Linked DNA regions of Macaca fascicularis. The protein of the gene in region 3 interacts with the protein of the main gene of each other region in a pairwise test. Links are inferred from orthologs where the notes say so. Each region holds a gene or a part of one and is shown on either strand. Other genes may lie near its edges. The genes, in order: LRIF1, ARPC5L, GADD45G, AFAP1L1, TSNAX and EEF1A1.

The links.
Region 1: the proteins of GADD45G (region 3) and LRIF1 interact in binary tests that used the Homo sapiens proteins (3 or more experiments, as listed by UniProt). The link is inferred for Macaca fascicularis from reciprocal best matches to the Homo sapiens genes GADD45G and LRIF1.
Region 2: the proteins of GADD45G (region 3) and ARPC5L interact in binary tests that used the Homo sapiens proteins (3 or more experiments, as listed by UniProt). The link is inferred for Macaca fascicularis from reciprocal best matches to the Homo sapiens genes GADD45G and ARPC5L.
Region 4: the proteins of GADD45G (region 3) and AFAP1L1 interact in binary tests that used the Homo sapiens proteins (3 or more experiments, as listed by UniProt). The two-hybrid records come from large-scale screens. The link is inferred for Macaca fascicularis from reciprocal best matches to the Homo sapiens genes GADD45G and AFAP1L1.
Region 5: the proteins of GADD45G (region 3) and TSNAX interact in binary tests that used the Homo sapiens proteins (3 or more experiments, as listed by UniProt). The two-hybrid records come from large-scale screens. The link is inferred for Macaca fascicularis from reciprocal best matches to the Homo sapiens genes GADD45G and TSNAX.
Region 6: the proteins of GADD45G (region 3) and EEF1A1 interact in a two-hybrid assay, tested with the Homo sapiens proteins (2 studies listed by BioGRID and IntAct). The link is inferred for Macaca fascicularis from reciprocal best matches to the Homo sapiens genes GADD45G and EEF1A1.

The regions. Positions count from the first base shown.
Region 1 is NC_088375.1:123,364,275-123,368,285, reverse strand, and holds the start of LRIF1 (ligand-dependent nuclear receptor-interacting factor 1), read right to left. Parts: upstream 2,801-4,011; 5' UTR 2,566-2,800; coding exon 2,498-2,565; intron 1-2,497. UniProt on the Homo sapiens protein: Together with SMCHD1, involved in chromosome X inactivation in females by promoting the compaction of heterochromatin.
Region 2 is NC_088389.1:19,195,162-19,199,361, forward strand, and holds the start of ARPC5L (actin-related protein 2/3 complex subunit 5-like protein), read right to left. Parts: upstream 2,801-4,200; 5' UTR 2,704-2,800; coding exon 2,554-2,703; coding exon of another isoform or gene 2,453-2,553; intron 2,201-2,452; coding exon of another isoform or gene 2,143-2,200; exon of another isoform or gene 67-2,142; intron 1-66. UniProt on the Homo sapiens protein: May function as component of the Arp2/3 complex which is involved in regulation of actin polymerization and together with an activating nucleation-promoting factor (NPF) mediates the formation of branched actin networks.
Region 3 is NC_088389.1:119,949,110-119,952,422, reverse strand, and holds GADD45G (growth arrest and DNA damage-inducible protein GADD45 gamma), read right to left. Parts: upstream 2,044-3,313; 5' UTR 1,934-2,043; coding exon 1,881-1,933; intron 1,625-1,880; coding exon 1,523-1,624; intron 1,390-1,522; coding exon 1,176-1,389; intron 1,088-1,175; coding exon 977-1,087; 3' UTR 501-976; downstream 1-500. UniProt on the Homo sapiens protein: Involved in the regulation of growth and apoptosis. Mediates activation of stress-responsive MTK1/MEKK4 MAPKKK.
Region 4 is NC_088380.1:156,191,012-156,194,511, forward strand, and holds part of AFAP1L1 (actin filament-associated protein 1-like 1), read left to right. Parts: intron 1-269; coding exon 270-449; intron 450-2,430; coding exon 2,431-2,523; intron 2,524-3,500. UniProt on the Homo sapiens protein: May be involved in podosome and invadosome formation.
Region 5 is NC_088375.1:17,518,650-17,522,149, forward strand, and holds part of TSNAX (translin-associated protein X), read right to left. Parts: intron 2,642-3,500; exon of another isoform or gene 2,477-2,641; intron 1,625-2,476; coding exon 1,247-1,624; 3' UTR 1-1,246.
Region 6 is NC_088378.1:101,525,493-101,529,361, reverse strand, and holds the end of EEF1A1 (elongation factor 1-alpha 1), read right to left. Parts: intron 3,051-3,869; 5' UTR 3,021-3,050; coding exon 2,877-3,020; intron 2,523-2,876; coding exon 2,343-2,522; intron 2,222-2,342; coding exon 1,925-2,221; intron 1,842-1,924; coding exon 1,691-1,841; intron 1,604-1,690; coding exon 1,347-1,603; intron 1,250-1,346; coding exon 1,015-1,249; intron 921-1,014; coding exon 796-920; 3' UTR 501-795; downstream 1-500. UniProt on the Homo sapiens protein: Translation elongation factor that catalyzes the GTP-dependent binding of aminoacyl-tRNA (aa-tRNA) to the A-site of ribosomes during the elongation phase of protein synthesis.

The DNA.
Region 1 (4,011 bases), on a different chromosome or scaffold from region 3:
ACGTTTCCCAACTCAGCTGTTCTTGGAATCTTTCCTCCAACTCCCTTCCTCTACTCTTTTCCTTTACTACATCAACTCTATCTTCCTCCTCCTCCACCATGACTGTAAGGTTTTCCCTGGAAACAGCCCATATGCTTTTATTTAATCAGTCTTCCCATTTAGCACAGTCTACCACATACGTAGTAGGTACTAAATGAATGTTTTGTCATCAAATGTTTAAACTGTATTGATAGTAAGTGGTAAGCTAGGATATGAACCCAAGTCTCTATGACTTAAAGGTTCTTTCCACTATAGCATTCTGACTCCTACTTTGTTCTTTGACAGTAAAACCCAAATCAACATAAATTAAATGCATAGTATCACAAATATCTTCCAGATTTTTCCTTTGTACTCTAAGATTAAATTTGGATTTTACATTTTATGCGCTGATGAATTAGAGATACTTCAAACAATATATAACCATATACAATTCTGTATTATGCCACTGAAAAATTTTTAGTAAGCGGTAACTTAGGAAAAAATTAAGCTACAAATAAGAAGAAAATCATAGTCACTTAAGTTATAAAAATAAACATTTAGTACCATCAAAGATGTTACCAGAAAAATAAGAAAACTAAGCTTCCAATAAACTAAAAGGGCTGATGTTAATATTATTTACAAAATTATATTTGGATGTTTTGTTACTTAAAAACAATGGAATCAAATATGCAACCATTAACCAAAGTAAATGTCGAAGCTTCTGAAAGTCATCTGGTAAATGTCCCAAATATATGATGTAAAACCTCAATGATTTAAATAAATACATTCAACGATAATAAAAACAACGTATAAATCAATGAGTTAATGAACTCAAAATGACATATGAATGTAATTGTAATTTAAAAATCTCCAAATCCCCAAAAGGATTAGAAATTGGATAACAGAGTTAAGGGTGTACACACACACACACACACACACACACACACACACACACAGTTGTTTATCTTACTTTTTGTATTTAAAAATGCAATCGTAAAACAAATTTTCTATAAATTAAGCTAAGTCAGAAGTCATTATTCAGGTACTAAAATAAGGCAGCAGAAATTAATCATTAAAAAGTAATTCTACATTTTAATATCTACACAGGGCACTCTCTGCCCCTTCCCCCAAACTTCCACCACAAAATTAAAAAAAAAAAAGAAAGAAAAGAAAAAAACACACAAGTATACCAAAATGCCTCTTTATGATTTGAAATACAATGGTTCTATCTTGACAGTTCTTCAATAGAATTTTGGCTCATTACTATTAGTGACCATTTCCTTTTATAATACTGCTTTTAAGGAACAAACATTACTTTCGGTCTTTATTGCAATCAAGTTTTCTATTTGTAATTAAACAAAACTACTTCCTGGGCTAAAATCTGTGCAGAATTAAAGTTGTATGCTTATAATAGTAACAGCTAACATTTAAATTGTGCTTTACTATTTTCCCACATGACGTATTTTACATTATTTCATTCTCCTAATATTTAAAATATTTCTAAGTGCTATTATTTACAGACTGGAAACAGGTACCTGGCCTCACAAATGCTAACTAGCAAAGTTGAGATTAACCCCAGGTAGCCTGATTTTCTTCAAACGAAAATCCTCTTCGGCCAGTTTTGCATCTTAGTTCTTCATTTTCTTATTAGAGTCTGCAGACTCTATTTTTTCCTCATCACTTAATCTACTAACCATGTGGGAGTACAAGTGAAAACATTCTGCTTTAGCTGACATTCTGTTTCCGATTCATGTCCTCTTAATACAATTAAAAAAACAAAACTAAACTAAAATACTGATCATCTATTTTCTAACTTTACAAGAATATCTTCCTTAGAAATACTGGACTCTCCTCATGCCAAATATAAATAGCCAATGAAACGGCACTTCATTACAACCCAAAACGCTGGTCAAAAGGATTGACTTTACACGAGGATTTCTCCATTCTTACTTCTCTCTCTTCACATAAAGCTATTACTTGAAATTTTAAATATTCAATCTCCTTGTTCTAAAGCCATTTTTCTTCAATCACACACCCTTTCTGTCTCACTATTAAAATGTAACTATTTTCACTGAAGGTCCAGCGCCACCAGGGCTGCACTTCCTAATCCGTGATGGCTGCTGCGTTTCTGCGTGTGTCTGAGAATCTTCCAGAAGGTTTGAGTCACATAAGAGCGTCGGCCATCTTGGTTTTCATCTCCCGTGGAGATCTACTCCGTCCGCCTATTAAACTTGAGACGCTGGAGTCCCGCGGAGCCGGGGAGGGGCTGTGTCTGGCTCTAAAGAGGTTTTACATTTCCCAGAGGAAGGCGCTCTATGGGCTTTAAGCGCCCTGGTGACGAGCGCTTCCCGTCTGAGTGGCGCACTCTGCGGGCTCCAACTCCTCTCAAACTACACAGCGTCCGGAAACGACGGCCGACTCCACATCCCAAAGACGGACAGGGGGGCAGGCGTGGGAAGGATTCGAAACCGGTACTTACCAACGCGAGGCGCTGCCTGAATTTTCCTCTGCGGGTTTCAGGAAGACCCTCCGTAGGTTATTTGACATTTTAGTGGGGAGAAAGGGGACACCTCAGCCAAGAAAGTGGGAAGCGTGGGGCCGAGTTTCTCAATGGGGCGAGAACCAAAGCGAGGGAATGTTGGGCTGCAGTTGCCCGCAGCAACTGTGAGGGGTTCGACCTTAACGGAGGGCGACAGCGGGCTCTCCAGAGGGTGTATCCCCAAGCTTCGGAGCGAGGTCGCGCAGCCACCCAGAAACCGGAAGGCTCTTGGCGGTGGACTGCGCCCTCAGCCCTACGCTCAGAGAGAATCGGCGTGCGTCTCCGCCCCCAGAGCCTACGACAACGCTCCAGACCCCGCCGGAGCAGGCGCAGGGGGCGTGGTCTTGGTGGCACCGCCCCCAACGGGGCCTGGTCAGTGCTGAAGACTGCGTCAGACCGGCTCTGCTGCCCCGCCCACTGAAGCCGATAGCTGGAGAAAAGCTCGGTCGGGCGTCTTCCGGGGTCGTCACGTCCGTTTGCCAAGGTGACTGGCTCGCTAAAGCCCAACCCTTATGATTCAATCCAATGGCAAGTGATATTTGCTATCTTTTCTTCCGGATCAAGGAACAAATCGCAAAAGAAAGCGCTCCCGACACCTACGCAAAATAAAATGTTTCCGGGGTCAATCTTAAATTTTCTGCTTCTGTGCTCGCCGCTAGTTTGTTTTTCTCTCCCGTCAGTGCATTAAAAGACATCGGCGGGCTTTTTTGGAATCATGCACTTGTGGCTTGAGAAAACTTCAAACGCCTGCCTGTGTCCAGCGATTTTTGTTGCTGCTTCTCTGAAGGTTTCCCATTTACTCCTCTTTCCTGAAGCTTTGCCTCTATACTTAGGTAACGCTTTCCTCCAGCCCACGTTCATCGAAACTATCACTTATTGTCATAGACCTCCGTTTCTGAAGGGAGATCTTGGAGTTGCATCAGAACATCCATTGTATTCATTCAGTCATTTATTCAGCTGTCCATTGCAGTTGATGGTCTTTATCTCACACTACTTCAAAATTTTTCCTCTCAGCACTATTAATTATTCCCTCATCTTGACGCCATTGGCAATATACTTTCCTGGTTTTGCTCCTACTTTTTTGTCTACAACTTCTCAGTCTCTTTTGAAGATCTCTCCCTTTTCAAGGGAGTTCCTTACCTCTTGATAACTGATTCTCTTAATGTTTTCAAACTGTCTTGTCTCAATTACTGGTTTTATTCATACTCCTGGCTTGAATTACCACATCCACCCATTATTTTACCAGTAAACACATATGTGTCCTTGGCACTGATTTAAGTGTTTTACAAAAGTAATTTACTCCTAACAACTAATAAAAGAATGATTATATGCACATGAAGAAACGGATGCTCAGAGAGGGTGAACAAGTTTTTAGAGGTCATAGAGCTTGTGAGTGATGGAGCCAGGCTCCAAATCCAGGTTGTCTGGCCAAACACACCATGTACTTTACTACT
Region 2 (4,200 bases), about 100 Mb from region 3:
ATCACCTGTCATTCATGAAGCCGGCTGTCATACTTGGCTGGCTTTAGACCTTTTCAGAGAATAGGCTGTGGTGCTGGGGGAACCCTGCCCAGCCCTTGATCTCTAGATCTTCCTCAATCACGGCACAACTGACACTGTGGACCCACGATTCTCTGACGTGGGATCTCAGCTGTGGGTCATAGGCCTCTGCCCACTGGATTCCAGTGGCATCCCCAAGCTGTAACTATCAAAATGTTTCTAATTTCCTGAGGTGGAGGGGAGGGGTGCAAAATCGCTCAAAACCACTGCTCTGGCCAGAGCCCTGATCCAGAAGTCTAGAAGCTGCTTCACTGAGGGGAAAGGAACTCATACTTTTAAATCGCCACAAGGTCTCGGATCCTGTGCCTGGTGCTTTCACATGCCATCTCATTCCAAAAATCCCAGTAACAACAATCATTATCTCATTTGAAAGGCAATGGAATTGAGGCTCAGAGAACGGAAATTACCTGCACAGGGTCACAAAACTAAGCTGTCTAGATGGCCCTGGCACCCAAGCTCCTCCCACAATCCCGTGCTGCCGCTCTAGCTGCAGACCTGAGCAGACACTTGCTGTGTGCCCCCTGATGCTGATGTTAGCCCATGAGGCTCCCACAGAACCTAGGAAGCCAGCACGGCTGTCTGCCACGTCACAGAGGAGAATGCTGAGTTGTGAGAGGGTATGTGACCTATCCGAGGTCAGAGCCAGAGCATGATGGCGCGCGGTGTGCGAAGATGCACAGCCGAGTTCCTTCTACCCCATCTGCGTGATCTCCCGCCACACACACTTCCCTATATAGCCCCAGGACAGGGTCCCTCTCTGCCCTCCCCAACCCCAATCCCTCTATCCCTCTCCCTGCTCCCCTGTCCTCAATGGTCTAAGTCCAATTCTTGGCACATGATAGAGACCCAATAAATATCAGTTCCATTCTCCTCCCTACCTGGGTCCGGTATTTGCCAGGGTTTCAGTTCTCTTTATCCGCTAACCTCCCTTTCCCCAACCCCAGGTGGAACACTCTCCATGGTAACAAGGTTTCTGCCGCTGCCATGAATGGAGAAACGACCATCCCCGGGATGTGCTAAACCCAGGCCTCTAAGCAGCCTCAAGGAACCTGTCACCAGGCAGGGGAGTCCCAAGACATGACCTTCAACAAGGCTCTGCACCCAGACCAAGGCAGCAGCTGACAGGCCTGACCTCCTCATCTGTTCAATGAGGGTCCTGGGCCAAAGGCCTGACCTTGGAGCCCCCTTCAGCACTGACTCTCCATAAGCCAGGCCCTGCACCTGACTACAACCAACCTTCCCTCCTGGGGACCCTTCCCTTGACCCCATTTCATAACTAGGGTGGACTGGGGGATCCTGATGGGGCAGGAATGACAAGCTTGAATCTCCACTTCCGAAAACACATTCCTGTTCAAACCAAGTCTGAAGGTTTTCGTTTTAAAGGCACACTGAGGAGCACTGCCGGGCTCCCCCTAAAGCAGCAGGCCCCACTTTCCAAGCTGAGTCAACTGGTTCAACACCGAGAACCTGATTTATGTACAGCATGGGCCTCCAACCCTGCCCCCGCCCGTGCGGGGGGAGGGGACAGGCTTCCTGGAACACCATTTGAATAAAGAAAAATCCTTCCGGTGAGAATAAGTCAGTTTCCTGCGCTCATACTGCTAAAGGACCAAGCAAGGCTGTGACAATCACCTCTATTTTTAATCTTTTCTAAATGCTGTTTTCTGTGGCCACAAGAACAGTCATTTCCAGGCGTGGGGCTCTACTTTCACACTTCACTTCAAGGTGTCTGGTTTTTCTTAGCTCTGAACTACTAGTTCTTTCCGCTGCTTCCTGCACCAGAAGGGTACTGGGGGGAGCCAAGACTCACTTGCTGAGCGTAGCTGAGACCACCAAGGTGACCAGAGGAACCACAGGGTTTCCCTTTCTCAGCATTAAGCGGGAGGGTCAGACTGACTGGGGGAGGGGAGGCACAACCTTAGACCCCAGGGCTGAAATAGGGCGGCCGCCTCCACTCCCTCCTGGGTCCTGTCTTCCCCACAGCCGTCCACCCACCTATCTTCACGCCCTGCGGCAATCTGGCCCCGGAAGACCGCGCCCCAGCCTCACCGATCACTCGGTTACTCAGATACGGCTCACCTCCGCCCTGCCGCCGACCCAGCCCCGCCATAGGCCCGATTTCCTGCAAGGGAGGGACGGAGTGCTGGGGCCCCCAGAAAGGGACAGCGTGAGGGGACGAGGAGGCAAGAGGGGAAGAGAGCCCGGGGCGCGGGACCTGCGGGGCTACCGAGGGAGCCCGTCCACCGGGTCCAAGGGCCTGCGGGGCTGCGCTGCACAAGAAGGGGCCAGGGCTGGGGAGGAAGGACCCAGGGAGACCAGGACTCAGGGGAGCACGGCCCAGGGGAGTCAGGTCGGCAGGGAGTTGAAGGCTGACCTGAGGGGGCCGGGGGTCGGAGACAGCAGAGGCCCGCCCGAAGGGGCCCGAGAAGGTGGGAAGGCCGCGCGCAGGCCCGGACGCCGCGTCAGGAAAGGATATTGCCGCAGGAGCCCGTCCACCTCGCTCGGGTCCGGGCCTGGCTCCGCCGCCGCCGCCGCCGCCTCCTCCTGCTCGTCCACAAATTTGTTCTCATCAAATTCGTCGATGTCCACCCGGCGGAAGCGCGAGGACAGCGTGTTCCGGGCCATGGCGGGAGCTCGGCGCCCGCTCAGCCGGCTCCACTCGCGGCCCGACCTCAGCTCTGCTCCACTCGCACCGGCTCCGGCTCGGGGGCGGGAAGCGGCCACCGGGCTGCTCCCAGCACCTCCTCCACCGCCTCCGCGCGCAGCCGCCGCCGCCCGCCCACTTCCGGCACACGCCGGATCCGGAAGCGTCATCGGGGCGGGGCGGAACCTGTCCCGTGGAGTGCGGTATGGGGTTTCCGCGGCCTCAGTCTCTTTTCCGCGGAGCCTCTGTCTTACCACTGAGGAGTGGCCGCCCGGTATCCTTGCAGGCCCCGCATAGTGTGTGCCGTAATCGCGCTGGTGATCCGGCTTTCCCGCGCCTCCGAGGAACCGCTGGCCTCAGCGGGGCCCGGCGCGGGCTTCCGGGGTGATCCTTGCCTGTACGGGGGAAGACTGGGCGCCCGGGAGAAGGCTCGCGGCTCTACTTCTCGGGTGCTGGGCAGGCTTCTTGGAGAAGAAACCTTCGAGCTGATGACTGAGGGATGAGTAGGAGTTCCTGTGCCCGGGGAGTGACGCGGGAGGGGTCTGTGTCTCGGAATCTTGAACGCCGCCACACTTAGCACGAGGAGGTCGCCTTTACACAGAGGTGACCCTGTTAAAGGAGTGGGAGGCTTTAAAGACGTTTAGTGCGATCAGAGGGCTGACAAGGCGTTGAAGACATTGTGACTCGAGGGATTTTGCGGCCCCACGTGTGTAGCAGTCACCTTGACCAGGCAGTTGGGGCCCCAGGAGAGGGAGATGGCCCTGTGGCCACCGTCCTGGCAGGAGAGGCCTGGCTTGAGAGGCACATCTTGATAGAAACCAAATTCTCAGAATCTGAGATGCGGGAAAGCGGGTTAGGGAAGTCAAGGACGACTCTGAGGTGTCAGATTTGGTGCCTGGGCTGTTACCCCAGGGGTTCTGTTAATTGATCTTAGCCTTAGGGTAAGTAAAATGGGTCTTTTATATAATACTATGAAAACTGTTTTCATCTAATAGTACCCTTGTTAATAAAAGTTGGAATGTGATTCATTTTTACTGCTTCGAATACTTCTCATTGAACTGTGTCTAAAGATCAAAAAACTATTGCCAGACTATGATGCAACCTAATCTTCCGTGGTAACCAGGATACAGACTCCCATAGTGGGAAACTGGCGCTAAAGAAAAGTCTCCGCCTGTAATCCCAGCACTGCGGGAGCCGAGGCGAGCAGATCACCTGAGGTCAGAAGTTTAAGATCAACCTGAGCAAAATGCTGAAACCCCGTCTCTACTAAAAATACAAAATTAGCCGGGTGTGGTGGCGCAGGCCTGTAATCCCAGCTACTCGAGAGGCTGAGGCAGGAGAATCGCTTGAAACTGGGAGGTGGAGGTTGCAGGGAGCCGAGATCGCGCCATTGCACTCCAGCCTGAGCGACAAGAGCAAAACTCGGTCTCAAAAAAAAAAAAACAGTCTCAGGGGTCCTGGAAACACGAAAAGCCCAC
Region 3 (3,313 bases):
TTGTCAGAGCATCTAAGAGGAAAAAGTCCCCAAGAGCAGAAGCAGCCTGCCACCGTCCTCAGGGACCACAAAGGGCAGGGCCTGCAGAAGGCGATGCTCATTGTGCAGGAAAGCCTGCGGCCTCAGGCAAGCTGTTCCGATAAGCAGCTGTGGGAGGGAGGGGGAGGAGGGCCGAGGGAGGGGGAGGGGAGGCAGAGGTCACTGTTATCGCCTTGGAAGGCAAGACTTCAGCTGCTGCACTGATGTCTTTTCTCAAGTATGCTCCTGTTTTGCAAGTTTAAAATCTTCCTAAAAGGAGAAAAGTAGGAGCCAGGCTCAAGTTCTACCCTAGCACTGGGCAGCATGCCCTCCCTCTGCCAGCGCGGAGGAGCCTGTCATTCTTGCCCGACAGGAAGACGGAACAGGTGCCATCAGTTCCACGGAGTTCCAGCAATCCTCTGAAACCCTGCGCACCACCTCCCCCGACACAAAGATCCCCTACCCTCAATAAAGAGCATAAGTTTGTTTCAAAAAGTTTATTGTAAAATTCAAAGCTTCAACAGCAGCATCCTTTAGAAAACGAAGCATTGCCCGGATCCGTTTTGAAAAAGCAGCGCAGTTGGCTAAGTCCTTCACGCTCCTGCAACTGTACCAAGTCCAGGGCGCCGCTCCTTCCTGCCGAGCGCAGGCTGCTGAGTCACGCCTGCCCGGCCAGTCTGTCCTTCCTGGCCCTGAGGCCAACGTCCTAGCCTAGGCCTTCCTGGGCGAGCAGCCGCTCCAGACACTTGCAGAGTCCTCAGCTCGGGCCAGCCTGGCCCTGCCGCCGCCGGGCCCCTCCTCGAGAGGCCGCGCCTCCTCACTCTCCAGGCGCCCCCCCCGCCTGCCAGTCTCCACGCCGCACTCGGGCACCCTCGGAGGGCCCCTCCACAGAGCCAGCCGCGCTCTAGGCGCCCCGGGGCGTCACCACGTCGATCAGACCAAGGTCCCCGCCGGGCTGTCACTCGGGGAGGGTGATGCTGGGCACCCAGTCGTTAACGCTGCGGCTCTCCTCGCAAAACAGGCTGAGCTTCTCCAAGGCGGGATCCTTCCAGGCGTCCTCGTTGGGGTTCTGCTGAGAGAGAGCAGGGTCAGCCTGGCTGGCCGCGGGCCGAGGCGGGAACTACACCGGGGCGGGGACCGGACGGGGCTGTACTCACCGAAATGAGGATGCAGTGCAGGTCGCCCGGCGCGCCCGCCTCCTCGCCGGCGCCCACGATAGCCGCCAGCCGCTGCACATCGCCCACGCGCACTATGTCGATGTCGTTCTCGCAGCAGAAAGCCTGGATCAGCGTAAAATGGATCTGCAGCGCGATGTCGCCCTCGTCCTCCTCATCGGCAGCCAGCACGCAGAAGGTCACATTGTCGGGGTCCCTGCGAGGGCAAGACGGGGACCAAGGTCAGAACCGGCAAACCAAGTTCTCCCGCAGCCACCCCTCCCATCCGCCGGTCTCTTCGCCATTCATCCCCGCCCCTGTCTCCCAGCCTGGGTCGCGTCTACACTTACACGTTCAGGACTTTGGCTGACTCGTAGACGCCGGCAGTGAGGCAGCCCTGACGCTGCGCGGACAGCAGCAACTCGTGCAGCGCTTTCCCGGCACCCTGCATCCTGCGGAGGAGCCAGCTAGTGAGCGGGAGACGGCCGTGGGGCGCGGTGGAGCCCCGAGCCCCGGCCACGGGGATTCACCCTTGGCTCTCCAACTCCAACCACACTCCAATCCCGGCTTGGCGCCCGCACCCCGGCTCTCCAACCCGGATCTGACGCCCGCACCCCCGGGCTCGGCTCCTATCCCGCGGATTCCCACCCTGGAGAACCCTGACGGTCGCCGACTGACCAGCCGCTTTCTCAGCGCCCTGAAACCCACCTGTCTGTGCTTTCCGGAACTGTGTCCTGGCCGCGGACTTCTTCCAGAGTCATAGTGCGATCAAACAACAGCAAGTTATCCACAAGCGGAGAGCGCGGAGGGGACGCGGGCGAACACCCTGAGACCAAGAGCTCAGCACGGCGCGCCCACCACCAGCGAGTGCGCCCGGGCTACGCTGCGCGTCCTTATATAGGCTGATGGGTGCGGCGCCGCCAGCTGGCGCGAGGCTGCCCGCCTATTGGCCGGCACCCGCTTTCTGATGTAAATGAGACCGCGAGCCCGCGGCTCGTGCCAGAAGGCCACGTGGGGAGGGGTGCGGGGGATGACAATGCCTCAAATCTGCCGCTTTTGTTGGGGTGTTACCAGGCAGACTGGAGCCTGCAGATTTCATCTCGCCTGGCTTTCTTTTTTTTTTTTTTTTTTTTTTTTTTTGAAGTCCTTAAAAGGAAAAAGTAAAAAAAAAAAAAAAAAAAAAAAAAAAGCCAATCCACAAAAACCTTGTTTGCTAATATGATGCTGCAATTTGCGAAAAGCACCTTTATAGAATCAAAAGGAATTTTATTTCCATTTTTTATTGCTACCTTTCTATTTGTTTCTTTTCTTTAATTTGAAGTTTATGAGACTGTTGCATTGGAGCAGGAAATTAAGGTAAAAACAGGTAACGCCAGTTAAAGGCTTGCAAAAGGCAGTGGGCACAGCCCCCTGCAGCTGACCACTAGCGTCCGGAGCGCGCTGGTAATGCCTGCCAGGCATACTCAATGTGTACATTGAGTAGTCGCTGGAAGATCCTACCCCACCTCCCCGCCCTTGGCCGAGAGCAGCGGGGCGCCGGAGAAGGGGGCGGGCAGGGGCGAGCAGATTGCTGCCGGCGCACGCCGCTCGTTTGCATTTCTATGGAGGGCGCACAATAGCAGAGGTCTGGCGTGTGGCGGTTTGCAGTAGGGACAATCGAGGCTTTCTCTTCATAGCAACACTGTCCACCTGCCGCCGGGTGGGGTGGGCAGGCCCCCGCCGCGCGTGGGGGTCGCCGGGCTGCCTGGCGCGTGGGGTCGAGGCTGAGTGCCACTCCGTGGTCCCTGAGTACGCGCCGCCTGTACTGGCCCTGCTACATGTAATTCCCTTCCACCCGTTCCTCGCACGGGTGCCGAGCAGCCTCGCGAGTTGGGAAGCACAGAGAGCTGCTGCGCAGTCTTCGCGACTGGACGCCCTCTGGCCGGGACCCCGCGGCTGCGGCCCTTGGAGCTTAGGGGATGTAGTTCGGTATCTGTTTCCCGGGGCGCCATCTACAGGCAGGTTAAAAAGATCCTGAATCCCTTTTCTCCTCCCCTCCCCCAACACACACACCCTTGCATTGGCCTGGTGCGGGGGAAGGGCGGTGGAGGGGGTCGGCCACGGAGCTGTCCGGCCGGGCCCACTGAGCCCTGTCCAAGCTG
Region 4 (3,500 bases), on a different chromosome or scaffold from region 3:
GGTAACCTGGTCTTCCTAGGATTATGCTACAGTCTGCCTCTTCCCAAATAGGTAGTTGTGACTGAAAATTGCCCAAAGATGCCTCCTCCCAGGCTTCTCTTCCAGGGTGGACGGCCTGGACCCTTTAGCTATCCTCGCACAGTGCCCATGGCTAGGGTGGGGGAGGCCTCTAAAGGGAGGTCGGGCCTCCCCCGAGCCTTTGTGTGAGGATGTCTTTCTCCTCTACCCTCTACTTCAGAAGATCCTGATGCCTTTCTCTCCCTGTCCAGTGTTATAAAAGCTCCAAGGACCGGCAGCCGCATCTGAGGTTGGCACTGGATACCTGCAGCGTCATCTACGTGCCCAAGGACAGCCGGCACAAGAGGCATGAGCTACGTTTCACCCAGGGGGCTACCGAGGTCTTGGTGCTGTCACTGCAGAGCCGAGAGCAGGCCGAGGAGTGGCTGAAGGTGCGTGGCCTGCACCTGACCTTCCCACCTTCCCACCCTTTCTCTCTTCCCCAAGCCAGCCCTCAGTAGAGCTGGCTCCTGTCCCCGGAAGAGCCTCTTGCTCAGTGCCTGAGCCCAAATGCCCTGTGTGTGGCTAGGGTTTATGTATGGAAATGGGCCTCAGATGTCTCCAGGAGGCAGACTTCATGCTGGAGACCTATGTTCCTTCTAGTTATTTGAATTCCCTTTCCAAATCCTTACTGTGGGCTTGTTCAGGCTGCACTTGTATACCTCCTGGAACTGGAAGCTTAGTGTCTACAAAGGAAGCTGATTTCATCATTAGACCAGTGAATTCTTAAAACAACAACAACAATAAAGGAAAAATCCTTCCTTGCCTTGAAACGTACATCCTTGTAATGACCACCCATGGGCCAGCTTCTGCCTCTACAGCTACACGGAACAATGAGAATTACCAAAAAATGAGCACTTACTTTGTGCCATGCATTGTGCCAAGAGCTTTACATACATGACCTCATTTCTGCTTGAAAATGGGACAAAATATTATTGTTCCCTTTTCACAGATGAGGAAACTAAGACGCAGCTTTGAGAACTTATGTGACTTGCCAAAGGTCACACAACCAAAGTGATTGGAGCCAGAATTTGAAGCTAAGAAGTAAGTCTCCTCCAAAGGCCATAGGCAGGATGACATAGTGATGACATGGGAGAGGGGACTTTGTGGCACCCACACTTGAGTCAAGCCCCAGGCCTAAGGGGCACTTACTGGTTGTGTGACCTTCAGCAAATGACTTTGCCCCTCTGTGCCTGTTTTTTTCATCTGTGAAATGGTCCTTGGAAGGATTCTGGAGAGCACTCGGCACAGTGCCTGCCAGGCAGTGAGTGTGTGGCAACTGTCAGTAATTACTGCCATGATGACTGCGATGCCCCACCCCCCATTCCTTTACAGCAGACCCCCATCCCTGCACCGCCTCTACTTCACTCTGACACCGTCCTTTCCTCCTCTGATCTTCCTGCTGGAACAATGAAACCAAACACCTCCCTCCCTACCCAGCCCCTTCCTTCCTGTGATAACCAGCCCCCCTGATGGAACATTTGGTGTTTCCCATTACCTCTTTGTCTCAGGAGGGAAGGAAGGGGAGAACCTGCCTGCTGGGGGAGTCTGTACCCCTCCATGGACTGGTGGGGTCGGCAGACGGAGCCCTAGACTGGAGTTAAAAGAGACCTGCCTTGACATTGATCCCGGGCGGCAGTTAGCCCAGAGGTTAACAGTGGGCAGCTGAACTGCCTGCATTTAGTTTCTGGCTCTGCTGCCCCTAACAGGTGGCTTCCCCTCTGCAAGGCTTGTCATCTTAAGCTGTAACTCAGGGGTCACAAGGCTGCTGAGGGATAAAATGGGATAATCCACAGAAAGCCACCAGATAGGTGAGCAACAAATGGTGGCTGTGATTATTTCCTGATCTCATGCTTATTGCTGCGTGGCCTTGGCAAGTGAGTGGATGCCTTTAGGAGATAGAGGTGATAACTCCAGCTGCCCTACAGGTTGCTGTAAAGGTGCGCGTGGTCACAGAAGCAGGTCCCTCACGCTTGTGAGGCTTTATGGTTCCCATCACTCTTCACATCTGTGGTCCCACTGTCCTCAGGCAACCCAAGGAGGAAAGCAGAGGACTAGTATCATTCCCATGTTGCAGATGTGGACACTGAGACCCAGAGCAGGGAAGTGGCTCTTCCAAGACCACACAACTAATTAGCAATAAGCCTCTTGGTCCCCATCCTTGTATCTTTTCAACCCAGGGGACAGATATGGGAGAAACACTTTACAAACCCCAGTGTGCCCCATGCATGTGCAGGTGGCTATGTCAGCCCATCGCTTCCCCACAGTGGCCCTGACCCTCTGTTCTACAGCATTCACCACACAGACCCCATTCTTCCTTTGCATCGACAGCTTCCCTGCCCACCCGTTCACAGCCGTGTGTCCTCTTCACAGGTCATCCGAGAAGTGAGCAAGCCAGTTGGGGGAGCTGAGGGAGTGGAGGTGCCCAGATCCCCAGTCCTCCTGTGCAAGTTGGACCCGGACAAGGTATATCTGTCTCCACTAGGTCTTCCCCGGGCCAGGCAGTGGCCACTCAACACAGGCTCAACCCCAGGGGAACTCACTGGCTGGGGGAAAAGCCGGGCAACTGCCAAACTGTAGGTGACCAGCACAGAGCTGGCACAACAGTAGGTGCTTAATAAATGTCTCCTGAATTCATGAATGCATGAACAAACGAGTGCCTGTGCCCAAAGTGCAACACAAACCAGAGGAGGGAGTGACGCACCTGCCAGGACAGGAGGAGGTCACGTTGCAATCGTGCCATGAAAAATAAGTTGAAATTTGTCAACTAGAAAAGGAGGGTATATAATCCCAGCACTTTGGGAGGCCAAGGCGGGCACATCACTTGAGCCCAGGAGTTCAAGACCAGCCTGGACAACATAGTGAGACCTCATCTCTAAAACACAAAAATTACAAAACTTATAATTTTTGGTGTGGTGGCACATGCCTGTAGTGGTGTGGTGGCACATGCCTGTAGTCCCCACTACTCAGGAGGCTAAGCTAGGAGAATTGCTTGAGCCTGGCAGGTGGAGGCTGCAGTGAGCCATGATTGCGCCACTGCACTCCAGCCTGGGCAACAGAGTGAGACCCTGTCTCAGAAAAAAAGAAAGAAAAGAGAGAGAGAAAGAAGAAAGAGAAGGAGGGTGCCTGTCTGGAACATGAGAGAAGCAGGCATTAGCCAGTTGGTCAGGCTGTTGGCAAATATGTCCCAGTACCTACACATTGCCAGGTACTGTGGGTAACAAAGGGCCTTGGACCCAGGTCCTCCCCTTAAGGACATTCCAGTCGAGGGGAAGGGTTAAGACCCACAGACACGGGCCTTGCATGATGTAATCAAGGCTTGTATTTATAGACTGTGACTGCATGCCCTGCAGTGTACTAAACGCTTTATGTGTATTAACTGAGGTGATTTTCATAAGAACTCTTTGGGTGGGTACATTTTCAGAGGAGAAAGCTAAGACAGA
Region 5 (3,500 bases), on a different chromosome or scaffold from region 3:
TATTTCAAAACTTCATTATAATTATTTAAATGTAAATGCTAGACTTAAATTATTTAAATTTAAATGCTAGATTTAAATTATTTAATTTTAATAAAATTTAAATTTAAATGCTAGAATAGGAAAGCCTCCAAACATGCCTAATATAACAAAAACAAAAATTGCTAAATAATCACTACTAAAAGCATTTCCATTGTATGTACAAGCATATAGTTCAACTTAACTTTACCAACAAAAATATAATTCAGCTCCAATTCTCTATCAGACCTTCTGTGATAAAAAACAAAAAAATAAATGGAGAAAGTAACATCTGGGCACCTGTCAAATTTTTATGGAAGGTTGTTTTGTATAAATTTTAAATGGCCTAAAATCAGACAGAATGTGAATTTTTCACTATAATACTTTATAAACTTGTACTTTTTTTTTTTTTTTTTGGATGGAGTCTTGCTCTGTTGCCCAGGTTGGAGTGCAGTGGCACAATTTCGGCTCACTGCAACCTCTGCCTACTGGGTTCAAGCGATTCTCCTGCCTCAGCCTGCCAAGTAGCTGGGATTACAGGCACATGCCACCATGCCCAGCTAATTTTTGTATTTTTAGTAGAGACGGGGTTTCACCATGTTGGTCAGGCTGGTCGCGAAATCCTGACCTCGTGATCTGCCTGCCTTGGCCTCCCAAAGTGCTGGGATTATAGGCGTGAGCCACCACGCCCAGCCTAAACTTGTATTTAAATTATATATTGATAGCTTATTCATTTTTAATTCTTGTTCCATGGAATAAACCTATTTTTGAGGCTTGGCACAATATTAACAAGAAATTTAAATAGGAAGCTCAAGTCCAGAAGTTTAACTAAAAAATCTTTTCTATATATAATAAAATCACCAACTTAAATTACAAATTGCTTCCACTAAAAATTATCACTCCAAACTTCAGAAAAAGTAAATTAAGACAGGTTATGGCAAAAAGTGCACTGTGAAACAGGTTCACATTACAAAGATAAATGATAAAGGTTAACCAGCAAAAATTCAAAAAGGCATATATGCAAACATCTGTATGCAAACTTTCATGAATAAGATATAAGAAATGATTCATTTCGCTAATTTTATGTACAGCTTGTATACAATTTAAAACAAGTACAACTGAATATGTTTCTATGTAAAAGCCACAATAAAGTTAAATGAAATACTAAATAAGTCTTACAAATTGGTCTCTTAGGAGTTCTCAAAAGAATTAGTAACTGAGTAATGTTATTCTAAGAAATACCCTCTTCTTGATCTATCATTTCTGTTTTAACTGAAAACACATCTGCCAACATATGTTTTGGAATTTCTGACCCTCTGACTTTCAAGGCATAACAAGCATTCTCCACTTTGGCCAAACTTTGTTTCAAGGTATACAGCTTCTTAGAGACCTCGTAAGGTCCAGTGTTGCCAATGAATGAAAACCCATCATAAACCTGACGTAAAAACTGGCTCACTTCAAAGGGGGTGTCAATGTCCCCATTCCCCACACTGTTAATACACATCCGCATCAATTCTCCAGTTAAGTCAGCCACTCCCAGAAGGTAATCGACAGGTGTGACTCTCAGTCTCCAAGTACCAAACTGCTCATCCTGTGTATCAGAAGAAGGCTGGTTTAAAAAAAAAAACAAAAGACTGTGAAAAAGAGTGAATATAGCATGTATCACATTTATTATAGAAGTACAAAATCAATAGCAAATCAGTCATACTAATTTTTTCTAAATAAAATAAATCTATTTTGCTTAATAACCATTTGGGATGTTACAGGAGGAATCTGTGCCCTGGGTAGTGAATTGAACCATATGCCTTCAAGATGCTTTTGAAATGTATCATTATGAAACCAACTATTTCCAACTCCACTTGACGTACAAAATAAAAATATTCTTAAACAAGGCTTAATAACTTTATTGCAGGACAATTACTTACTTAAATGGAAAATCATACGGCCCTCCAAGTTTGTGATCCATTAATGTTTTTCTAAGTTGCTCAGTCTTTTTCTGGCCTCTTGCCTTTCCCTACTCAGCACTGACCATCACAATTTATTATTCTCTCACTGCATCCTCAATTCCCTTAGACTGCTGTATTTTCTACTGCACCTACCCAGCAAAAACAGAATCCTCAATCAACACTAAAATCTACTCATTAGTCCTTTATTCAGGTGGCTGAGTACCACTCACCAAGTTAAAAAATGGTAATCACAACTGCAGAGTTTTTACCACTACAAATTACTCTCCAATCCTTTTACTTATCATTAGATGGTTCTCTCTCCAGCCTCTTCAAACACGATTTCAAACCTTTCACCCTCAGTGCTCTACTCAAATCCCAAACCTCTTCACTTTCAGTAGACAAGCTTGCGCAACTTCACTGACCTGGTCTCATTTGCCAGCTTACCTAGCACAATTTCTCGCAACTGCCTTCATCCCTACCAAAAAAAAAATATTTATATCCACAGCCATCTTTACCTTCTATCCTCCAGTCTCAGATGATGAGTTGTCCCTCCTCTTGTTTGAGGTTAACTCTTCCAAATGACCTTGACCCATCTCCTCCCACCTCTTCCAGGACCTTGCTTCATAAGGTGTATGCCCTTGGGCAAGTTATTTCATCTCTCTAAACCTCAGTTTCCTCATCTGTAAAATGGGATAACAGTACCTACCTCAGAGGTTTATTTTAAGGATTAAATGAGATAACATTTACCAAGTTCTTGGCATAATGCCCAACACAAAGTAAATATTCAACAAATGCTAGCTGCTATCATGATTACTATCATCATGAAATCTCTCTCCACATCAATTTCCCTCTATTGAATTCTTTCTGGCAGAGACAATGCCTAAATTGCTATTAAAAGACTGTATGTATAAAAGGGTAGTTGAAGTTTCAGTTACATCAAAGGACATTTTAGGTAGTGGGAACTACAAAGGTGTGCAGGTAAGAATTGTGCATTTGAGGAACTAATAATTCTTTTGATTCAAGTTTAAAGGAAGTTACATAAATGCAAGCTGAGAAGAGGGAGATAGCTTTCTTAAGATCACTCTTTGCTATGTATCTAATATATGACTCCTAACACTGAACTCTGCAGAGACCATCTGGTGCAACGTCCTCATCGTTTAGCATAAGAAATCAGGCCAGAGAAACATCACAGGTAATATGATGTTGAGCTATGGGAATATGATGTTGAGCTATGGGAATATGATAGCTAGTTAGTGGCACTATTGTTTCCAATCTATTTTTCTGCACATTTGAAATTTTTTCACAAAAAGTTTTTTAAATAAAGATTACATAGTTTTGACAATATTCTCAACAGGCAAGTAAGAGCAAAATACCTTTCCCAATCAAATTCCCAGAATTTTCAGCACCACGCATCTTTAGCACTAAAACTTATTTATGAACATAGTCTTAATTTGAAACGTGTGTATGAACATTATAGCCCCATAATCTTAAAATAATCTAGTACCTAAGTCCTGAAAACAGTACTCTGACTCTCAATTT
Region 6 (3,869 bases), on a different chromosome or scaffold from region 3:
CATAAAGCTAACTCCACTGACTTTAAAATGGATCCCTCCACTCACATAGGGTGTGCACTAGCAACTACTTACTTCTTATGTCAGGGGAAATAGTCAACTTCCACTGCCCAGTCATTTTAACCTGTTTTAAAACGCACATCCCTGTAATTTGGAAACTATTTCATGTTTCCAAAGATTCACTTAACATTGGTTTAACTACATTAAGCTTTCTATGCAACACAAGGACTCTATTACAGCATTTGGCCTTCCTTAGTGACAGGCCATCAGTAACATGCTGCATTTCTCTCCAATGTGGAAATCAAAGCAGCCCTCCCATAGCTTAGATTCCTTCCCCTTCCAAGTACGTGGGAGGAAAACAACCTTATCTCCACCTAGAAGTGTTAACTTGAGAACTACATTTTCATAAAGTTTCCACAAATTCATAAAACCAGAATTACATGTCTTTCTCCTAAGCGAGGTAAAACTTGAAAGTTTCAGTGTTGACCAAAGGAACACACAGGTTTCTCATTAAACTTTTTTAATGGGTCTCAAAATTCTGTGACAAATTTTTGGTCAAGTTGTTTCCATTAAAAAGTACTGATTTTAAAAACTAATAACTTAAAACTGCCACACGCAAAAAAGAAAACCAAAGTGGTCCACAAAACATTCTCCTTTCCTTCTGAAGGTTTTACGATGCATTGTTATCATTAACCAGTCTTTTACTACTAAACTTAAATGGCCAATTGAAACAAACAGTTCTGAGACCGTTCTTCCACCACTGATTAAGAGTGGGGTGGCAGGTATTAGGGATAATATTCATTTAGCCTTCTGAGCTTTCTGGGCAGACTTGGTGACCTTGCCAGCTCCAGCAGCCTTCTTGTCCACTGCTTTGATGACACCCACCGCAACTGTCTGCCTCATATCACGAACAGCAAAGCGACCTATTAAAAAAAAAATGTAGTATTACCAAAACTGTTCACAGTTGTATTTTTCATCTTTAACACAACTTATTTACGTTTAAGTAATCATCCTTACCCAAAGGTGGATAGTCTGAGAAGCTCTCAACACACATAGGCTTGCCAGGAACCATATCAACAATGGCAGCATCACCAGACTTCAAGAATTTAGGGCCATCTTCCAGTTTTTTACCAGAACGGCGATCAATCTTTTCCTTCAGCTCAGCAAACTTGCATGCAATGTGAGCTGTGTGGCAGTCCAACACAGGGGCATAGCCAGCACTTATTTGGCCTGGATGGTTCAGGATAATCACCTTGGAAAAAAAGATTTGCGTTCAGTGTAAATCCAAAGTCTCAAATGACTTTAGCCTCTGCAATAAGGTAGGAACATGTTACTTTAAAAATTGTTACCTGAGCAGTGAAGCCAGCTGCTTCCATTGGTGGGTCGTTTTTGCTGTCACCAGCAACGTTGCCACGACGAACATCCTTGACAGACACATTCTTGACATTGAAGCCCACATTGTCCCCAGGAAGAGCTTCACTCAAAGCTTCATGGTGCATTTCGACAGATTTTACTTCAGTTGTAACGTTGACTGGAGCAAAGGTGACCACCATACCGGGTTTGAGAACACCAGTCTCCACTCGGCCAACAGGAACAGTACCAATACCTAAAAATATTTACAGCATACTAAATACCTATGAAGGAAGATAGTACTCTACCAACTCAAATTCAACTTTGTTGACACCCAACTTACCACCAATTTTGTAGACATCCTGGAGAGGCAGGCGCAAGGGCTTGTCAGTTGGACGAGTTGGTGGTAGGATGCAGTCCAGAGCCTCAAGCAGCGTGGTTCCACTGGCATTGCCATCCTTACGGGTGACCTTCCATCCCTTGAACCAAGGCATCTGAAACACAACCATGCCAATTTGTGTAAGCATGAAATCGCCATTCCCAGAGCTTTTTAACAACGGTCTTGAAAGCCACTTACGTTAGCACTTGGCTCCAGCATGTTGTCACCATTCCAACCAGAAATTGGCACAAATGCTACTGTGTCGGGGTTGTAGCCAATTTTCTTAATGTAAGTGCTGACTTCCTTAACAATTTCCTCGTATCTCTTCTGGCTGTAGGGTGGCTCAGTGGAATCCATTTTGTTAACACCAACAATTAGTTGTTTCACACCCAGTGTGTAAGCCAGAAGAGCATGCTCTCGGGTCTGCCCATTCTTGGAGATACCAGCTTCAAATTCACCAACACCAGCAGCAACAATCAGGACAGCACAGTCAGCCTTTAAAGAAAGCAAAGACATATCCCTGTCAACTCTCCAAAGGACAAAACCAATGCACAAGACAGGCATTTCAGGGGAAAAAAAAAAAAAAAAACAACCTAGAATTATTAATCCCACCAACCTGAGATGTCCCTGTAATCATGTTTTTGATGAAGTCTCTGTGTCCTGGGGCATCAATGATAGTCACATAATACTTGCTGGTCTCAAATTTCCACAAGGAGATATCAATGGTGATACCACGTTCCCGCTCAGCTTTCAGTTTATCCAAGACCCAGGCATACTTGAAGGAGCCCTTTCCCATCTGTAAGGATTAAGAGTTGTTACTTGGTTACTAACACACAAACTCCAGCTTCAATTTCTTTGCCCCCAGCCCTTAATTGGCACATAGTTTCCACTTTACAACTGCAAGTCCTAAGTGATTTTAGTCACTTAGATAGGGTTACAGAAGCAACCAAAAAGCAAACTTTTTAAAGTAGGATCTTGACTATTAATATCCAAATCGAAACTACTCACTAGCAATACGGTTACAGAAGTAACCAAAAGCAAACTATTTTAATAAGTAGGGTCAGATCTAAACCACTCACTAGTTCTGGGGAAATCACTACCACTTAATGATTCTGCTGGTAAAACTCATTTTAGTTCATCTTTCCCATACCTCAGCAGCCTCCTTCTCAAATTTTTCAATGGTTCTTTTGTCGATGCCACCGCATTTGTAGATCAGATGGCCAGTAGTGGTGGACTTGCCCGAATCTACGTGTCCAATGACGACAATGTTGATATGAGTCTTTTCCTTTCCCATTTTGGCTTTTAGGGGTAGTTTTCACGACACCTGAAATGGGAGAAAAAAACTTTGAACCACTGTCTGAAGCTTGAGAATAAGCCAAGATCCAAATTCGAAAAGGGCAAATTCCAAGGAGAATTACATCGAGCGCCAAGCTGGCCTAACTCTTCAGTCTCCACCCACCAAGTGTGGGGAAACTCCACCGCACAAAACCCCTCCCCCAAACCTAAGGAAGACGTACTCCAAAAGCTCGGAGAACTAATCGAGGTGCCTGGACGGCGCCCGGTACTCCGTGGGGTCACATGAAGCGGCGACCGAGGAGGGAAAGGCCCTTTTCCTTTGTGTGGGTGACTCACCCGCCCGCTCTCCCGGGCGCCGCGTCCTCCATTTTGAGCTCCCTGCGGCAGGGCCGGGAAGCGGCCATCTTTCCGCTCACGCAACTGGTGCCGACCGGGCCAGGCTTGCCGACCAGGGCGGGGCGACACACCGCCGCGCGAGGCCCGGCACCAGAGCAGGACGGCCAGCTTGAGACTCCCCCCGTCCGACTCTCGGTGGCCGCGCTCGCAGGCCCCGCCTCGCCGAACATGTGCGCTGGGACGCACGAGCCCCGTCGCAGCCCGCGGCCCCCAAAACCCCAATATCAGTGTGCAGATCCTGGTCCGCATTTATAAGATTATCTCGCCAGAAAAAAGGCGTTGCAGCTGGTCATCAAAAATTTTAAATGGCTAGAAACTTAGTGAAAGCAGCGGGGCAGGCGCGAAGGTGCTACCAGATTCGCACGCGGCAGCCCCAGAGCCCAAGCCAGGCCTCGACTCAAGCACGAGGCGAAGGGACTCCTTAAGTGCAAGGCCTCGACCTCTCCCACCC